Sus scrofa: one gene and its partners. The protein of the gene in region 1 interacts with the protein of each later gene in a biochemical or structural test. Links are inferred from orthologs where the notes say so. Each region holds a gene or a part of one and is shown in the gene's direction. Other genes may lie near its edges.

Evidence for each region.
Region 2: the proteins of EGFR (region 1) and TNS4 form a complex in vitro, tested with the Homo sapiens proteins (2 studies listed by BioGRID and IntAct, with this or other methods). The link is inferred for Sus scrofa from reciprocal best matches to the Homo sapiens genes EGFR and TNS4.
Region 3: the proteins of EGFR (region 1) and AREG form a complex in vitro, tested with the Homo sapiens proteins (2 studies listed by BioGRID and IntAct, with this or other methods). The link is inferred for Sus scrofa from reciprocal best matches to the Homo sapiens genes EGFR and AREG.
Region 4: the proteins of EGFR (region 1) and SH2D2A form a complex in vitro, tested with the Homo sapiens proteins (2 studies listed by BioGRID and IntAct, with this or other methods). The link is inferred for Sus scrofa from reciprocal best matches to the Homo sapiens genes EGFR and SH2D2A.

Annotation. Positions count from the first base shown.
Region 1 is NC_010451.4:139,301,085-139,305,216, forward strand, and holds the start of EGFR (epidermal growth factor receptor precursor), read left to right. Parts: upstream 1-1,325; 5' UTR 1,326-1,438; coding exon 1,439-1,526; intron 1,527-4,132. UniProt on the Homo sapiens protein: Receptor tyrosine kinase binding ligands of the EGF family and activating several signaling cascades to convert extracellular cues into appropriate cellular responses.
Region 2 is NC_010454.4:21,922,778-21,927,017, forward strand, and holds the start of TNS4 (tensin-4), read left to right. Parts: upstream 1-1,438; 5' UTR 1,439-1,513; intron 1,514-4,240. UniProt on the Homo sapiens protein: Promotes EGF-induced cell migration by displacing tensin TNS3 from the cytoplasmic tail of integrin ITGB1 which results in dissociation of TNS3 from focal adhesions, disassembly of actin stress fibers and initiation of cell migration.
Region 3 is NC_010450.4:70,416,744-70,420,736, forward strand, and holds the start of AREG (amphiregulin precursor), read left to right. Parts: upstream 1-1,191; 5' UTR 1,192-1,380; coding exon 1,381-1,441; intron 1,442-2,579; coding exon 2,580-2,810; intron 2,811-3,993.
Region 4 is NC_010446.5:93,280,883-93,285,184, forward strand, and holds the start of SH2D2A (SH2 domain-containing protein 2A), read left to right. Parts: upstream 1-1,500; 5' UTR 1,501-1,623; coding exon 1,624-1,657; intron 1,658-2,263; coding exon 2,264-2,424; intron 2,425-3,498; coding exon 3,499-3,671; intron 3,672-4,302. UniProt on the Homo sapiens protein: Could be a T-cell-specific adapter protein involved in the control of T-cell activation. May play a role in the CD4-p56-LCK-dependent signal transduction pathway. Could also play an important role in normal and pathological angiogenesis.

The DNA of each region.
Region 1 (4,132 bases):
ACACACCCTGGCTGCGTCCTCTGCCCACTGCTGTCACTTTGGTGCCCTTCTCTAGCAGGTGGCGCTTTTCTTTACAGACCATTTCTGCCTTCGTTTGAAGAGCGTGGAGGGACCAAAGCCATGGCCTGCAGAACCTACAAAGCCTTCTTCATCCTTAAATGGATGAAGGGACTTCCTTAAAACAAAGAAACAAACACAAATGATTCTCATCTTAAAGTTCCACGGACCCAATGCTCGGTAAGGAAAGATGCAAAGCTTTGCTCCCCCACATGTAGGAAAGGCCCTGCTTTAGCTCCACTTACTGCAGGTTTATGATTCCTGCTTAAAAGGTGGGGCCAACCAGAGCTGAAGGCCCGCGAGAAGTCACAATGGGTCTTGTGGGAGAGGGAGTCGGCTGTAGACAGGCAGAAGACATCTGTCCTGAAGGAGGAGGAGGAGTAGGGCAGGGCGGGCTTTGCTGGAAGCATTTAGCTAAAACCTTCCTGCAGCCCGAGAAAGCCGGCTTTCTTCTGGCCGAATCCTGAGTAGGTTTCCCCGGCTTTTCTCCTGTCAGAGTTGCAGCGTGGTTGTCTTCAGGCAGGGGGGCCCACAGCTAGTGTGTGTGCTAAGCCTTTATTCTAAGTGCTTGACTTTTTTGAAGTGATTTCCTGCAATCATTCGTCTTTCAAGTACTGCTCGCTGGTGCACGGCCCATGAAATGCTGCGGGCTCCTTTGGTGCCTATGCATTCACTCAACAAACATTTCCCCAAGGCCAGAATCTGTGCTAGAGGTGGGAGTCCTTATTTCAGATGATTTCAAGGGTGCTTGACGGGACCTGAAGGACCCTGGGACTTGAGTGCATCTCAGAGGCCAGGGGGCGCCTCTGCCGCCAGGCCAGCCTCTGACCCGCCCTGGGATCCCGAGGTGCTCAGAGAAGTTGGGGCCACAATTAAACAGTGGTCTCCCCCGCTGGGCCAGCATCCGGCCTTGGGCAGAAGGCTCGGTCTGCTCCGCGCCGGGACACGTCTGCTCTGCAACTTGGAGGACGGCGGAGGGGAATGGGCAACCCGGGGGCAAAGGTGGCTCCAGGAAGGTCAGGTCGCCAGCAGCAGGCAAGTGGGCGAGGACCTGCCCTGCCGGCGGGGCAGCGCGGGGCAGTCCTCCCGGGGCTCGGCTCCGCAGCCCGCTCCCGCGCGGCGCTCCTCCCGCTGTCGCCTCCTCCGCCCCGCGCGCCGCCCGCCCCTCCTCCCGGTCCCTCCTCCTCGAGCCCGGCCTCCCCGCGCCCCCGCCCCCGCCCCCGCGAGCCAGACGTCCGGGCGGCCGGCGCAGCGCGCAGCCTCCGCCCCGGCTCGGAGCTCACGCCCGCGGCCCGCGCGATCCCCGTCCGCTCCGGCCGCCGAGCCCGCGCCCCGCGCCCCGGCCATCGCTGCGTCCCGACCGAGCGCCGAGCCCCGCGCGATGCGACGCTCCTGGGCGGGCGGCGCCGCGCTCCTGGCGCTGCTGGCCGCGCACTTCCAGGCGAGTCCGGCGCTGGAGGAGAAGAAAGGTAGGGGCGACCGCGCCGCCGTCCCGCCCGTCCTCAGGCGGCCGCGCAGCCTCGGGCGCGGCGGGCCGAGGAGCCCGAGCGCCGCTTCCCTTCCGCCCTCCCGGCCCCCGCGGGGTGGACGCCCCGGCGAGCGCGTCCCCGCACGTGCGCCCGCGGTGCGCCGGGCTGGGGGGCGGCGCAGGCGGGACGCGGGGCCCGTGCCCGGACCCCGGGACCCGAGCGGCCCTCCGCGCCCGGCCCCGCACCCGCGCCCCACGCCGGAGCCAGCTCCCCGACCCCTCTCCTGGCGCGGCCTTGACCCAGAGGCTCGAGAGCTCGTTCCGGGCACTGGCCACCTGCGCTTCGGGACCGGGAGGCCAGAGGTCCTCCGGCCCCACCGCCCCTCCGCGTCCCGCAGCGCCTCCCGCCGTCCGCATCCCTCGGGCGGCGAGTAGCCACTTCCCGGGACTCCCGAGATTTGTCCCCTCTTGCAGCCCTTGGGCGGCGTGTCCGCGCTTCGCAGTGGAAGGGACGGGGCGGTGGGAGCGGCCGCGGCAGGAGGGCCAGTTCTGGGGCGAACGGTCCAGGGGCGGGACGCATCCGGGCCGGCCGGGTCCCCACAGTTTCAAAATATGGCTCACAGCAAGCGTTCCTCCTCAAAATCTAGAGATTTCTCTCTCTGGGATGTGTCTTTTAGCTTTTTGAAGAATTTGACATCAGGCCAACCAAAATATTAAACTTTAAAAAAAAAAAAAACCGGATTGATGTCCGTGGTTCACGTGGGCCAAATGTCCAGACCAAACATGAGCGAGTCTGGCTTCGTGACTACCGACCATAAACCCACTTGACATGAGAAACATGCCTGAGAAGGTTTAATTGCACAATTTCAGACTCAAGCAGCCGGGGTTCCAAGAGTCAGGTCTGTACTTGCTGTTGATGTCACTGGCACAGCGAGACAGGGTTTGGTGCTGAGTGCGATGGTGGGGGGAGCAGTAAGTCCTAAAGCAGTGCACCCCAAACTTGGCTGCAAATTAGAATCGGTTGGGATTTAAAACGAAACAAGACACCTTGTCTGGCTCCCACCCCCAGACTGCCTAATTTCACTGGTCTGGGATGAGACTGAGGCATCTGGATTTTGAAAAGCTCCTCAGGTGCTTCTGCTGGGCAGCCAGGCGTGGATCTCACTGGCCATGGAGGTGAAATCCCTGAAGTGATTACCTGCAAGGGTCAAAAGCTCTTTCAGAACCACTGGAGTTTTAACAACCTTGCAAAATATGGGAAAGAGGAGGTGAGGGATGGTATGAGTGACCAGGCATATGCCTCTTTTCACTGAAAGCGTCTCCTGACGGGTCTCGAGGCCCTGCTGCTCCCTGCTGTGAGCCCAAGGCTGTGGTCCTGCTCCTGAGATAGTTGACCGCAGGGTCCTTTGAGCAGCAGGGGCCCTGCTGCTCCCTGCTGTGAGCCCCAGGCTGTTGGGGGTGGGGGCATCCTTATTTTAAATTAAAGTGTTGGAGCATCTCCAAAGCACCACCTTTCTCCAGAAGAGCCCGCAGCTCTCCGCTGGTACCCCTTTGAACACTGCTGTTACCGCTTGGAGATTTGTTTCTAAGAAAAATATAAATACCACTTAATTTGCCTGTTAATCCCGTATTTGTTTAAAACAGAATGCTCCTGAATAGAATAGTGGGATTAGATGAACAAATGTCATTGGGCTAAAGTAAATAAGATGACCAAGTAGGGCAAAATATTAACCCAAAGTGTGAAAGACCCATGTCAGTCACATTTGGTCAGCTTTGTTCTAGAGAATTTACTCATTTTAGAGAGATCTGTTTGGTTCTAAGATGTAGTGTCTTTGTTCTCACTGCACTTGGTCCTGCCAGACGCTGTTTTAAGTTTCCTTTGAGTCCTCACAAACCATACGAGGTGGGTCCTCTCTAGTCTGTGGGGAAACCCAGGTCTGGGAAGTAAAGCGACTTTTCCAAGGCCAGCAAGAGGCAGAACCCGGATTCACACTCAGGCCTCTGGCCTCCCAGAGGCTCCCCTGCCACCTGACTGCGATGCCTTGTGGGTTCTGATCTCTGGAGCCCTGCCGTGTGTGTGTGTGTGTGTGTGTGTGTGTGTGTGTGTGTGTGTGTGTGTGTGTGAGAGAGAGAGAGAGTGAGTGTATGTGTCGGGGGTGGGGGGAGATGGGGATGCCGCCCTCCTGCCGTTGGGACCCCTCTCCTGGCACTTGGGAGGCGCCTGTGGAGGAGCTCAGTCACAGCGAGGAGCTGGGAGACGCTGGGGGGGTGTTGAGCAAGCCCCTCGCTCTAGCAAAGCTGAGGGTGAAGGTGCTGCTGCGGCAGTGACCTTGGGTGGGATTCCACCTGGGCAGGCCCTCCTTTTAGGACATCCGTGTGCCGTGGGTCTGGGCTGTGTTGAAGAGGACCTGCTCGGGGGCTTTGAATGGTATCCAGAGAGAACCCTCCTTCCTCTGAGAAGCCCGGACCTGAGGACGCCCATCAGGACAGGCCGGGAGCCCAGGGGCCCGGGGCCGGGCTCTTGCTTGGTATGATGTGGACGCGTCCCTCGCCAGCTCTGGGTCCTTATTTCTCAATTCAGTGGCTATTTACTGAGTGCAGGGCATG
Region 2 (4,240 bases), on another chromosome or scaffold:
AAGAAAAAAGAGGCGTTCCCGTCGTGGTGCAGTGGTTAACGAATCCAACTAGATACCATGAGGCTGCAGGAACCATGAGGCTGCGGATTCGATCCCTGGCCTTGCTCAGGGGGTGAAGGATCTGGTGTTGCCGTGAGCTGTGGTGTAGGTCTCAGACGAGGCTCAGATCCCGCGGTGCTGTGGCTCTGGTGTAGGCCGGCGGCTACAGCTCCGGTTAGACCCCTAGCCTGGGAACCTCTATATGCCTCGGGAGCGGACCTAGAAAAGGCAAAAAGACAAAAAAAAAAAAGGAGCCCTTTCACTGGGCTTAATGCTGGCACTGGGCAGCTCATGCACACCCGAGATTAACCACTGCGGAGATCATTGTGAGTCCCTGGGCTGGAGACTTTGCCGGTCCCTTTGCTTCAGGCCACCCTGCCCAGATGGGGCCCAGCTTGACCACCAGTGCCCCTGGATGTCCCCTCAAAACGCCCTGGGACCCTTGGCACAAAACAAGGAGGGAGTTGGAGCCCGGGAGACAGAATGCCTGGGCTTCTACTGTCGCTCCCACAAGGAACATCCTCCAGATGGTGCTAAGGGATAGTGCTTGAGAGAATGAATGAAGTTGAGCAAGGCTTTGGGCCCTTCTCAAAGCCCTCCAGCCCTCAGAGCCCACGCCCGCCTTCAGTGCAAAGCTCATCCCCAGGCGAAGAATGAAAGGCAAGGTCTGGAGTTCCCGCGGCGGCTCAGTGGAAGCAAACCCAACTAATATCCCTGAGGACACGGGTTCCATCCCTGACCTCACTCAGTGGGTTAAGGATCCGGCGTTGCCATGCGCTCTGGCTCAGCTTGGATTCCGCATTGCTGTGGCTGTGGTGTAGGCCAGCAGCTGCAGCTCTGATTCGACCCCTAGCCTGGGACTTTCCATGTGCTGCAAATGCAGCCCAAAAAGAAAAAAAAAAGAAAAGACCATGTCTGTGCCCAGTCTTAGTTCCAGTGGGCCCCTACCCTGTGCCTGCTGCAGTGTGACCCAGCCCAGAGAGCAGAGGAGGGGCCTGTGGGGAGGGTCTCCTGCTCACTGGCCTCCTGCCGCCCCAAGGCCAAGGCCTGGGCCTCATTGTCTGCTAGCCCTGCCAGCCCCAGGTCCCTCCCCTGGCTGGCACACTGGTGAAGGGAATGGCCCTAACAGGGCCTTGTCCAAGCAGGAGTCCCCCCCTCCCAGGCACCATGTGCTGGGAGGGTATGGGAAGCAGGAAGCTTGGGAGACCCCCACCCCACAATCTGGCCCCAGCGCCCACCAGGCCAGGCTCCCACCCAAGCGCTTCCCTTCCCCCGCCGGTGCCGCCCCACCTGAGCTCCTCCAGACACCCGGGTGGGGCCCGCGGTCAGGCCACGTGCAGGACCGCGTGGGGCGGAGGGAGGGCGGGGCCGCCCGGCTGCTCTTAAGGCGGGGCCAGGCCTTGCAACTCACCTGGGCGCTGACGCCCTGTCCCGGAGCCTGGAGTGCACACAGCCGTGCCGCCCTGGACACCAGGTAGGTGCCTTTCTTCCTGGAGAAGAGCGGGAGGCTCAGCACCTTCCCCCAGCCTTTGTCTCAGCCCCTCCACTTCTGCTGGGGCCCGAAGGGAAGGTGGAGAGAAATGGGGAGGGGGCTGAGCCCGAGAGGAAGATGTTCCCTCGGGACCCAGGGCAGCACTTGGGGAGAATGAAAGCTGTAGCCTCAGTTACAGATGAAAGAACCGAGGTCCAGAGAGGGGCAGAGGCTTGCTGGGGGGTCCCCAAGACGCAGCACCCAGCTTCCTGCCTCGCAGCCCAGAGTGCCCCCACAATGGGGTCTGGCCCTGAGCTCCCTGCGGGGCCCTTCAGAGGCCACTGGGAATCCAGGAGATGGGGACATGGCCTTCGCTGGTCCTGTGGGTCCCTGCCTGCGGTCCCCGGGTCTGCCTCACTGGATCTGGGAGGGGAACGAGGGGGTGGAGCTATTGAGGCAAGGTGCATGGGGGAGACTCGGGCCTCCCCCTCTGCCACCCTGTCTGTCTGCTGACCTGGGCTTGTAGGAAGGAAAGACTAAGTCCAGGAGAAGCTGGTAGTGAAACGGACAAGGGGGGTTGCCAAGGAATCAGGATGCCCCTGCCTCCAGAGAGCTTGGGAACAAAGGGAGAGATGGGAGTCCAGTGGGTGGGCAGGACTCTAAATAGGTCTGAGCTGCCTGAAGCCCTCCTTACCCACAGCCCGCCAGCATCCACACAGACTGAGCCCAGCGACCCTCCCCTCACCCTTAGAGCAGAAAGGAAAGAGCTAGAAAGTGCGCTGGTGGGGACAGGAGAGGAAGGTGTCAGGAAATAAAGGAGTGAGAACAGCCTTGCCTAGGGAGAGCCAGTGGTGCTTCAGGGAGTGTTCAAAGTGGGAAGGGTTTGGAGTTCCCTGGTGGCTAAGTGGGTTAAGATCCAGCATCGTCCCTGCTGTGACTGGGGTCACTGCTACGGTGTGGGTTCAATCCCTGGCCCAGGGAACTTCCGCATGCCGTGGGTGCGGCCAAAAAAAAAAAAGTGAGAAGACAGTGGGTTAAGGATCTGGCATTGCCGTGAGCTGCAGCAGAGGTCACAATTTCGGCTCGGATCCCACGTTGCTGTGGCTGTGGCGTAGGCTGACAGCTGCAGTTCCCATTCACCCCCTAGCTGGGGAAGTTGCATGTGCTGCAGGTCGGCCTGAAAACAGCAAAAAGAAAAAAAGTGAGAAGAGTTTAAAGAAAAGCTTGAGGGGCCGCCTGCCCTTTGCTTAATCCCAAGCCTGGTCCCCTGGGTTCCAGAATCCCAGAAGCAGAGAGAGGCTTAGATCTTAAATCTACAAAGTGGTGGCAGAGATTGTGGGTCTTGGAGCCAAGACCATGTGGGTTCAAGTCCAGGTCCACTGACAGGTTCTGTGGGTTGTATGACTTTAGATCAATCCCTTAGCCTCTCCAGCCCCACAGTAAGAGTACCTTCTTCAGAGAACCATTGAGAAATTAAAATGAGCATGTTTTATGTGTCTGTTATTATCATATTCCCATTATACAGATGGGACAACTGAGGCCCAGAGAGGAAAGGACACTCGCCCAGGGTGGTACAAAAGCCGTTTCCAAATCAGTAGACAGACATCCTCGATCCTGGTCCTGAGGGAGGACCCAGGCCCCAGGGTGCTCCTCAAAATCTGTATCCCAAGGCTGCTCTGCAGCGCCCAGCCGAAAACCCTCCAGGGTGCTCCACGATCCTGCCCCGACAAACCCAGGCCACTTGGAGCGTGTGGGGAAAAAGCCAAAGCTCCGTGTCCTCAGCTGCCCCCAGGAAGGCGCTCAGCATCTATTCCCTTCCACTGCCATTTATAGACACGCTTCCAGAGGGGGGCATGTCCAGGACCTGGCCAAGCACGAGGCTGACAGCAGGGCAGGCAGGAACTTCGGAGGAGGAGAGGGTTCTGGCTTTTCTCATTAACCTATTGTGTGACCTTGGGCAAGTCACACCCCCTCTCTGGACCTCATGTGTCCTTCCGCATTTGAACTCCCTGTGGTATAAGGAGATAAGAGTCTAAAGTCCAAGCCTGGGTTCGAATCCCTGCTCTAGCACTTTTCTGGACATGCGGCCAATGCAAATTGCTTAACCTCTCTGAATCTCAGTATCTTCCTCTGTCAAATGGGCTGCTAATGGGGGTGCAGTACTTCCCAGGGTTACTAGAAGGTTAAAAGGGTTACCATAGATAAAATCAGTGCCTGGCACATGGTGAGCGCTGAATAAAGGGGAGCGCTTCGTCTCGAGTATTATGAAGGTGTTATATTCTACTTAAGCTCTTATTTCTAAGTAGTGCTTAGATGCGTCCAACTGCTTCCACAAGCAGCACCTCACTGGTGTGACATCACTCTCTCTGAAGCTACAGGGCAGGGATTCTTCGTCCCATTTCACAGATGAGAAAACTGAGGGTCAGAGTTATGTTTGAGCTGGGATTTGAATCCTAATCCCCAGACTCTGAAGTTCCTAATCATTTCATTTGCCCCAGGCTGATCTCACTGCCTTTTCCAGCACCAGGGTCTGACTCTAAAGCAGGATGTGAGAGAGGCATCTTGGAAAAAGAGAGAAGCAGAGTTGGGCAGTGCTGGGGGGTGAGGGGTAGTGAGGCTCAGGGCAGGCAGTGGCAGCGCCACCGGCGTGTCCTTACAGTTTTCTTGGCAGCCTCTGTTCCAGAACCAGCTTACTTCCTACCCAACCCCCACTCCATAAGAAACCGCTAA
Region 3 (3,993 bases), on another chromosome or scaffold:
ATGCTTTTTTCCTCTTCCTCAAGTCAAGAAAAATCCAGTTCTGGAATTGTAGATACATCAAACTTAGTCAAATGAAGCAATTCTCTCCCTCTCATTTTATCTACTTGTCATGATTAAAATGTCCTACTAGATTCTAAATAGGCACTAAAATCTGGCCCTTTTATCTGGGGATTGCAGAGGCAAACTCTTGGGCACTACCCTTCATGCCAACACACTACCAGTAGAGATTACTCCTGTAGGCTAACTATTGTTCTCCCCAGAAACTTTCTTTCCAAAGAGAAGTTTAGCCTAAATCCCTTTATCAGAGAGGAAAGAGATTTTAGAGTCAGTGGAACTCGAAGTTAGGTCCATCTGGCTTTTGCCATGACCAGCGGGGTAAAGTACTCCTTGCTTGGTAAAGCTGACAGGTGTCCCTCTTGTAAAACATAGAAAAAAATGATACTTGCCTAGCAAGGTTCTGGAGTGACCTGGTGTAGGTAATATGCTTAGTGTACAGTTCCACAACATAAATTAATGATCAATAAACTATCATTTTGACAAGGACCCTAGGTTATATAAAGAAATGGGATAAATGGGGAGGGAGATGATTGGAAATGCAGGCTGCTTCACAGTAGTGGAGGGGAATCTCCAGGGTTGAGATCCAGGCCCATGGTATACAAAACAGCTTCTCCTTAGGAGGCATGGCTCTCTAGTCATGGAATAAACGTCATTATTCGCATTAAAGACATGGGGTGGGGCTTTCCTTGTTAAGTCACTCTTGGGCTTTAAGTAATTTTATATTTTAATAGGAAATTTTCTAGTTAATCCCTGTCTGTTGTAATATTCAGATCAACCAAAGCATAATCTGAAGGTTTTTTTTTTTTTTTCCTCCAGATAGTTTGAAAATTTGGGATTTCTGAATGTCAGATATTAGCTTGCAACTCCACCCTTGCTCTCAAATAAGAATTGGTCTTTTTTTTTTTTTCCCCAGCCGGCAGCAAGGGTCTTCATTTTCACTTCCTCCCAGCGGCTCTCTGCGCTCCGAGGAGGTGGGGCGCCTGGCATCCGTTTGTGGTTTTGGGGTAGTAACCTGTCCTGGGGCGGCCGCCCGCCTCCACCCTCCGCGGCGACCGTGACGTCACGGGCGATGCCCGGGTCCCGCCCGGCCTATAAAGCCACTGGTGCGCGCCGCGCCTCCGGAATGTTCGCACACCTTGTGCGGGAGCCGGAGCCCAGGGAATCCCGAGGCGAGCTCCAGGCGCTGCCTCCAGCGCCCGAGCCCGGCCGGGCCTCTGAGCACAGCTGCTCGGCGCCCCTGGTCCCCGGTCACCTCCTCCCGCCCGCCCGCAGCTCCCGGCCGAGTTGCCCCAGAGACCGCGACGCCACAGCTCCGCGGGACCAATGAGAGCTCCGCTGCTGCCGCCGGCGCCCGTGGTGCTGTCACTCTTGATCCTCTGCTCAGGTGAGGACATCCCGGCTCTGAGCTGCTGAGCACTTCTCCCAGCCGGGGCAAAACGGTCGCTCCTTGAATTTTGCTGCTGATTCTCTAAAAAATCGCCATTTGGCGGCCCTGGTTCTGTCTGGTGGGAGGTGACCTTGGTCCCTCCCTCTGTACGTTACTCCCTGGGAGTGGGCAGGTGTATCTTAGATGTTCCAGGCCATCAAGAGGGGGCCGGAAACTCCTTGTACTTTTACTTTAGTCCAGCTGAAGGATCTCCTGCTTAGAGAGCCTGTGAGCCAACCCTTCGCTTGACCGATAAAGAAACCAACCGACGTCCAGAGGTGAAGTGATTTCCACAGATTTTGGAGTAGAGTAGTTAAATCCTGGAAGGAGACGCGCAGCCTTCTGCCTCGATTCTCCATCTCCTCTGTCAAGTACTTTTGTTTTTTCCCTTTCTAGAGGGTTTCGCATCGTCCCAGAGAGAAGTTAAAAGCACCACTTTGACACTGTTTTGTTTAGATCTAAAAGATAAAGCAGGGACTTGAAACTCTGGCCCCCAAATCTTAACTTCATCTCTAGTTTCTTCTCTTTGTGAGAACAGTAATAAACAGTGGCAATAAGGAGAATTATAATCAATTTCTATTTTCATTACTTTTTAACATTTCCTGTACATAGTCTTCTTAAACGTGAGCATATGTTAAGAAAACCCGGTATTTATTTCTAGAACCTGTTTATTAAAATAGGACAGGTAGCATCCTAACAAACACAAATGCATTTCATATGTGAAGTCATGGCAATGTTTAGATATTACCTGTTAAATAAGTGTAGCAACTTGATTTACCTCTTCTGCAGTATTTTGTTTCTTTCTTTCTTTCTTTCTTTTTTTTTTTTTTGATGTGGGAATTAATGTACATTCTCTATGGAAATGAAAACCTTAATGAAAGAAGCTCTGTCATTGGAACAGCTGAGTTTGCTTCTTGGCAAAAATGTGAAGTTGCTTTCATAAAGTGACTCAATCATAAACAATAGCACATGTGCAATAACTGCTTTGCTATCAAAAGATAAACATTTCTCCTGCGCGCTGCTCCTGCGCTCTGCTGACTGGGGAGAAAAGACATTCTGCTTTATCTTCTCTTCCATTTTGCCCTTGTTCCCATAGCCCATTATGCTGCTGGACTGGACGTCAACGGCACCTCCTCTGGGAAAGGAGAACCATTTTCTGGGGACCATGGTGCTGAGGCATTTGAGGTGACCTCCAGAAGTGAGATGTCCTCGGGAAGTGAGGCTCCCCCTGCTAGCGAAATGCCTTCTGGTAGCGACTATGACTATGCTGAAGAGTACGATAACGAACCGCACATATCTGGCTATATTGTAGATGATTCAGTCAGAGGTGAGTAGAGGGTAAGGTGACAATGTAGCCAGTGAGATGTGTGTTTGTATAAGACAAGCTGCTTCAAAAGAAAAGCACTCCCCGATCTCCTAGTGGCTTTCTTGCCCTCTCTTTCCTGATCCACTGGCTAAATTGAGATGGAAAGAGCTATTCGTGGCCACATCCTATATGTCTGCAGCTCTAACAAACGTTTTATGTCTAGGAAGGCTAATCTTTGCAAAACATTATTCAGTGGGAGTTGTTATCCATTTACAGACGTGAGAACCGAAGCTCAGAAAGGTTAAGCATTCTTCCCAGTGTTCCAGAGCCAGGATGAGGACTCCAGTCTGTTTGATTCCAGATACTATGCTCTTTCATACCCTGCCACGTGACCCTCAAATGAGGGTCCAGTCCTATCTATGTTGTATCTCAAGTTTTATATTCACTCCCCTCCACCGTTTCCCCCCAAATAACTGCATTTTTAGCACAAATAAGGGAACAGAAGTAATGGGAAAGGAACGATTGGACCTTAGCCTTTAAGGATAAGGTGTTGCGAAATTGGTAATAATAATAGTCATACCACCTTCTGGAAATAATAAAAGAAGGACAAGTATGCGTGGATTATGTATTGATAGAATCACTCTTTAATCCCAAATCCCATTTGTCAGTTAAATAATGTGACCCATAGTTTTCTTCTCTTTGGCTGTTATCTGATCATTTTAAAAAAGCATTTGCTTAAAAGGAAGTTACCAAAGGAAGAGGTCAGTCTTGTTACCCTCATGTTACTTTGGAGTTTGAGGGCAGAACAGGTCATCAGCAAATCAGATCTAAGTATCCTAGGAGCCTCCACTACATAGGCAAGACTTACAGCCCTCTCTTTCCTGATCTTAGTTTCCATGGCTCCTCCTCCTCTCTCTGGCTCCCAGAACTGGTGAAGGGAGAGAGGGTGATACCATAGGGACAGTGACTGGAGGAAGAGGCAGGTGGAGAGAGTTTTACTGAATACTCCATGTTATCTGCCTTTGGAGCTTATGCTCTTCTATAAGGTGAGGAAGGAGTCTGTCTATAATTCTTATTTTGGGAAGGGAGGAGATTAGACCATCAAGACTTAGAAATGGTTCTCTTAAAGCTATTTCAAGTTGTTAACATTTCAAAAGGCCAAACACATTGTTGGTAGTGAAAATGGCTAGGGCTTAACGTTCCA
Region 4 (4,302 bases), on another chromosome or scaffold:
TCACATTGTGCCATGGCAGGAACTCCTCCCCTCCATTTTTGATTAATATCAACCACCACACCATGCGATTTGGCTTCCTGAGTGGATACCAAGGTACAAGGGATGCAGCGTCTAAGTCGGGTCCTAGGGGATCGTCCTAACCAATGGGAAGTGGGAACACTGAGGGAGCAGGGAAGATCAGTACCTCCCCCTTTCTTCCTTCTGTAGGTTACTCCAAAGAGTGGTTTCACCTTGCACCCTGTATGGAGAAAGCCCTCAAGTGAAAATGCATGTCAGGTACCTGGATGTTTCTCTTTGCAACTTGTTTTGAAGTGGTAACCAATGCAGGATTTTTTTTTTTTTTTGCCTTTTCCAGGGCCACACCCACAGAATATGGAAGTTCCCAGGCTATGGGTTGAATTGGAGCTGTAGCCACCAGCCTACACCAGAGCCACAGCAACTCAGGATCTGAGCCACGTCTGTGACCTACACCACAGCTCACGGCAACGCCAGATCCTTAACCCACTGAGCGAGGCCAGGGATCAAACCCACAACCTCGTAGTTCCTAGTCGGATTCGTTAACACTGAACCACGATGAGAACTCCCCATTCCCCCTTCTTGACACCTTGAGACAAGATCCTTTTTCTCTCTGGGCTCTCAAGACTGTTGGCCTAAATCGCAGTGAAATGTGGAAAAGAAGAGCTAGATTCTAGTCCCAGCTCCACCATCAACAGCCGAGACCCTGAAAGCCCCTGGCTAAGGCATGTAACTTCTCTGAGCTTCAGCTTACCCTCCTGGCAAATGGGGATAATTAATGTTCCCTGTCTTCTTCTCATGTGTGCGGATCTCTCTGGAGAGAAACGGGATTGGTCCTTGGGGGTGACAGGGGAAGCAAGCACACTGCAGGTTTAAGACATCAGCACTGAAGTCCTTAAATAACAACTGCCCATCATCTTGCTGCTAATAACGACCCACTTCGTTGGAGGAAATCCCCACTCCCTTTCTCTGGAATTGCCTAGTTATATCCTAACCCAGCTCCCGCCAACCCATCATCTGCTTGAGGATGAAGCCAGGCTCCCTCCTCCTCACCCCTGTGTCTCACAGATTCCATATGACCTCAGAAAGTCCTTCAAAAGTCTGACCCACATTCTTCGTGTTGCAGCTCTGCTCCCTTCCCTCCATGTGCGTCCTAAGAGCACAGTCCTGAGTCTGAATCTTCGATGACTCCGAAGCCCCATCACCTCATCAGGCTTGTCCTTCTGAGGTTGACCTTACCACTGCCACTGCTCAGAGAGAGAGAGGGAGACAGAGGGACCGAGAGAGGGACAGAAAGGGAAGTCCCAGTCTGGACTGAGGGCGTGGAGAGGGGATGGAGATAAGACAGCAGCAAGGACCCAGACACAGAATGACACAAATACTCACCGCACCCCACCACCTTCAGCTGCCTGGCTTCCGGGGGTGGGGCGACCGTCTTACGGCTTTCCATGACGCGAGTCCTGCGAGAGGGCTGGGGCTGTGGGTGAGGCGACATTTCCTGCCCCCGGAGGGGCTGGGTGAGAGGAGGGATGACTTGCTGAGTGTGCACACCTTTTGAGAGCCCGCACACACACCCTGCTCTAGGGGCTCCTCTGCTAGGCTGCCCCCATGGAGCTCCCCCTGGCCCAGATAGGCGCCCAAGGTAAGTGTGAAGTTGGAGAACGTGGGTGGGGGAGATATCAAGACCCCCCCCCATGATCCCTGCTCTCTCCCCGCTGGCCCTAGCTCCCACTTTAGGGCCCAGAGCTGGCAGGGCTGGCTGGCAAGTGGCTCACAACCCCTGTTACTCCTCGGGGGCTCCGGGTCCCCGCAGCCCTGAGGATAAAGATGACAGAGTCTGCTGAGTGCTCCTTAGAGAGGAGGGGAGGGCAACGGGAGGAGGAAGGGGGACAAGGGGCAGGGGATTCTGGGCCAGAAGACAGACCTGCCCTGAAGAGATCTGCCTCCCTGCCCAGATTTTGGGACGTCGGGCCATCGGAGGGCTGGCTGGCTTCCCAGCTCTCCTGCCCAGCACCCAGTTTCTCTGACAAGCCCCTCTGCCGCCTTGGCCCTCTGCACCCTCTTGGCTCCTTACTCCTCCCTAAGAAATCACCTCAGCATCCCTCCTGCATCTCTCCTGCTGTCATGACTGTCCCTGTCCTAGGGGCACTCCCCAGTCCCCCAGCGAGAGGTCCACGGGGTCCCTCTGAAGGGAGGAATGGGCAACAGAAAGGCCGGCCATCACTGAGAAAGCTCTCTGTGCTAACAGGGAGTCGAGAAGCCCCCGCTGTAACCTTCAGCACCTTCCAGCCCATGGACTTGAACCGCCGGAGCTGCCAGGGCCTGGGTTCGCTTCCGGGACCCAGACTCCAGGCCCCGAAGGCCGAAGAAGCCCAGCCCAGCCCCAGGGCCCCGACTGTCCACGTGGCGGTGAGTCGGAACCTGGGGGGGGGCAGCTCCCTCCTCGGCTCCCACTCTCCCAACTTGAGGACTTGCAGATAGACAAAGGCCAAGGCAGGAATGAGCTGGGGCTGCCGACAAGGCCAAGGGTACAGAGGGAGGGAAAGGAGAGGGGGAGGGCCTCCTTCAGGTGCTGAATGGTCCACTCACTGCTCCTCTGTCCCTGGGGAGCTCAGGGTGTGTCCACAAGTGACCAGGGTACAATGATTTGAGTTCCAGAAACTTGCACACCTGCAGCTCTGTCCATTGCCTTCATTTGGCCAGGACAGCCTTATCTCAGTCTTTCTCTGCCCTCCTTTCACTGGGAAATCTGCCCAGCTCGGTCCCTCCTAATGGAGGGTGAGCCCTCCCTCATTCTGGCCTCTGGAGTTCCTTCCCTTCATTCCTTAGGCCAGGGAAGGACTTTCTGTCCATCTGGAAGGCCTCACCTCCCGTTAAGCACAGTTTAATAGCTCACAGCTACTGCACCAAAAAGGCCCACAGGCCCCAGACAGAGTGGAAGGAAACTCCCTGGAAACAAAAACAGCTGGAGCTGGTGTCCCCATTGTGGTTCAGTGGGTTAAAAACCCAACTAGCATCCATGAAGATGTGGGTTCAATCCCTGGCCACGTTCAGTGGGTTAAGGATCTGGTCTTGCCGAAAGCCGAGGCATAGGTTGCAGATGTGGCTCAGATCTGGCATTGCTGGGGCTGTGACGTCGGCCTGCAACTGCAGCTTTGATTCAACACCGAACCCAGGAACTTCCATATGCCTAATGAGTGGCCCTAAAAAGGTAAAGAAAGAAAAAGAAAAAGAAAAGAAAGAAGAAAAAAAAAAAAAAAACAGCTGGAGCTGAAGAAGAGATTTAAGTTAGAACTTTCTGGGCAATTACACCCTAGAATAGGCCACTGGGATGAGGGGTGACTTTCTCCACATATCCAGGAGGGGCTAGGTATGAGAAGGTGACAGCTGGCTTCATCCAGGAGCCAGCTGCCACCTGGCCCGTCAGGAGAAGGACCACTATTCATGGCTTCTTCCCCTTCCTTGAACTCCTCCTCTATCCAGGCCCCAGGCGCTACGTGCAGCCCAAAAGACATTGGGAAGGCTGAAGAGATGCCTAGAGAAGAAGCCTTGTCCCTACAGGCAGAGACTCTGGCTTGGTTCCAGAAGACCCAGGCCCATGAGCTCCTGCAGCACGGGGAAGCCCCTGCCTGGTTCCACGGCTTCATCACCCGGAGGTGAGTCACAGAGGAAGAAACAGGCTCAGAGAAGGGCAGGGGGCCAGTCCTGAGTCCTGCGGTCAATCAGGAGCAGATTGCAGCTACAAGCCCAGGCTATGAATTCTGGAGGTTCAAAGGCTGTTTACTAGGGTAGCTCTCCTGCGGGAGATCATTGGAGAGGCTCCAGCGCAAGCCCCCATCCTATGCCTCGGTTTGCCCCTTCTAGGCTCAACCTTCCTCCTGTCTCTGAGGCTTCTCATGTTCACAGTTTCCACCTCCGCCTCAGGCTCTCTCTCCATGCATATATATATATATATATATTTTTTTTTTTTTTTTTTTGGTCTTTTTGCCTTTTCTAGGACCGATCCCGCGGCATATGGAGAGTCCCAGGCTAGGAGTCTAATCAGAGCTGTAGCGGCCAACCCACGCCACAGCCACAGCCACAGCCACAGCCACGCGGGATCCGAGCTGCATCTGTGACCTACAGCACAGCTCAAGGCAACGTCGGATCTTTAACCCACTGAGCAAGGCCAGGGATCGAACCGAGTCGGTTCCTAGTCGGATTCGTTAACCACTGAGCCATGTCCGGAACACCTCCATGCATCTTTACCTCTGGCTCTCTCCAGCCCTCTCCTCTATCTTCCCACCT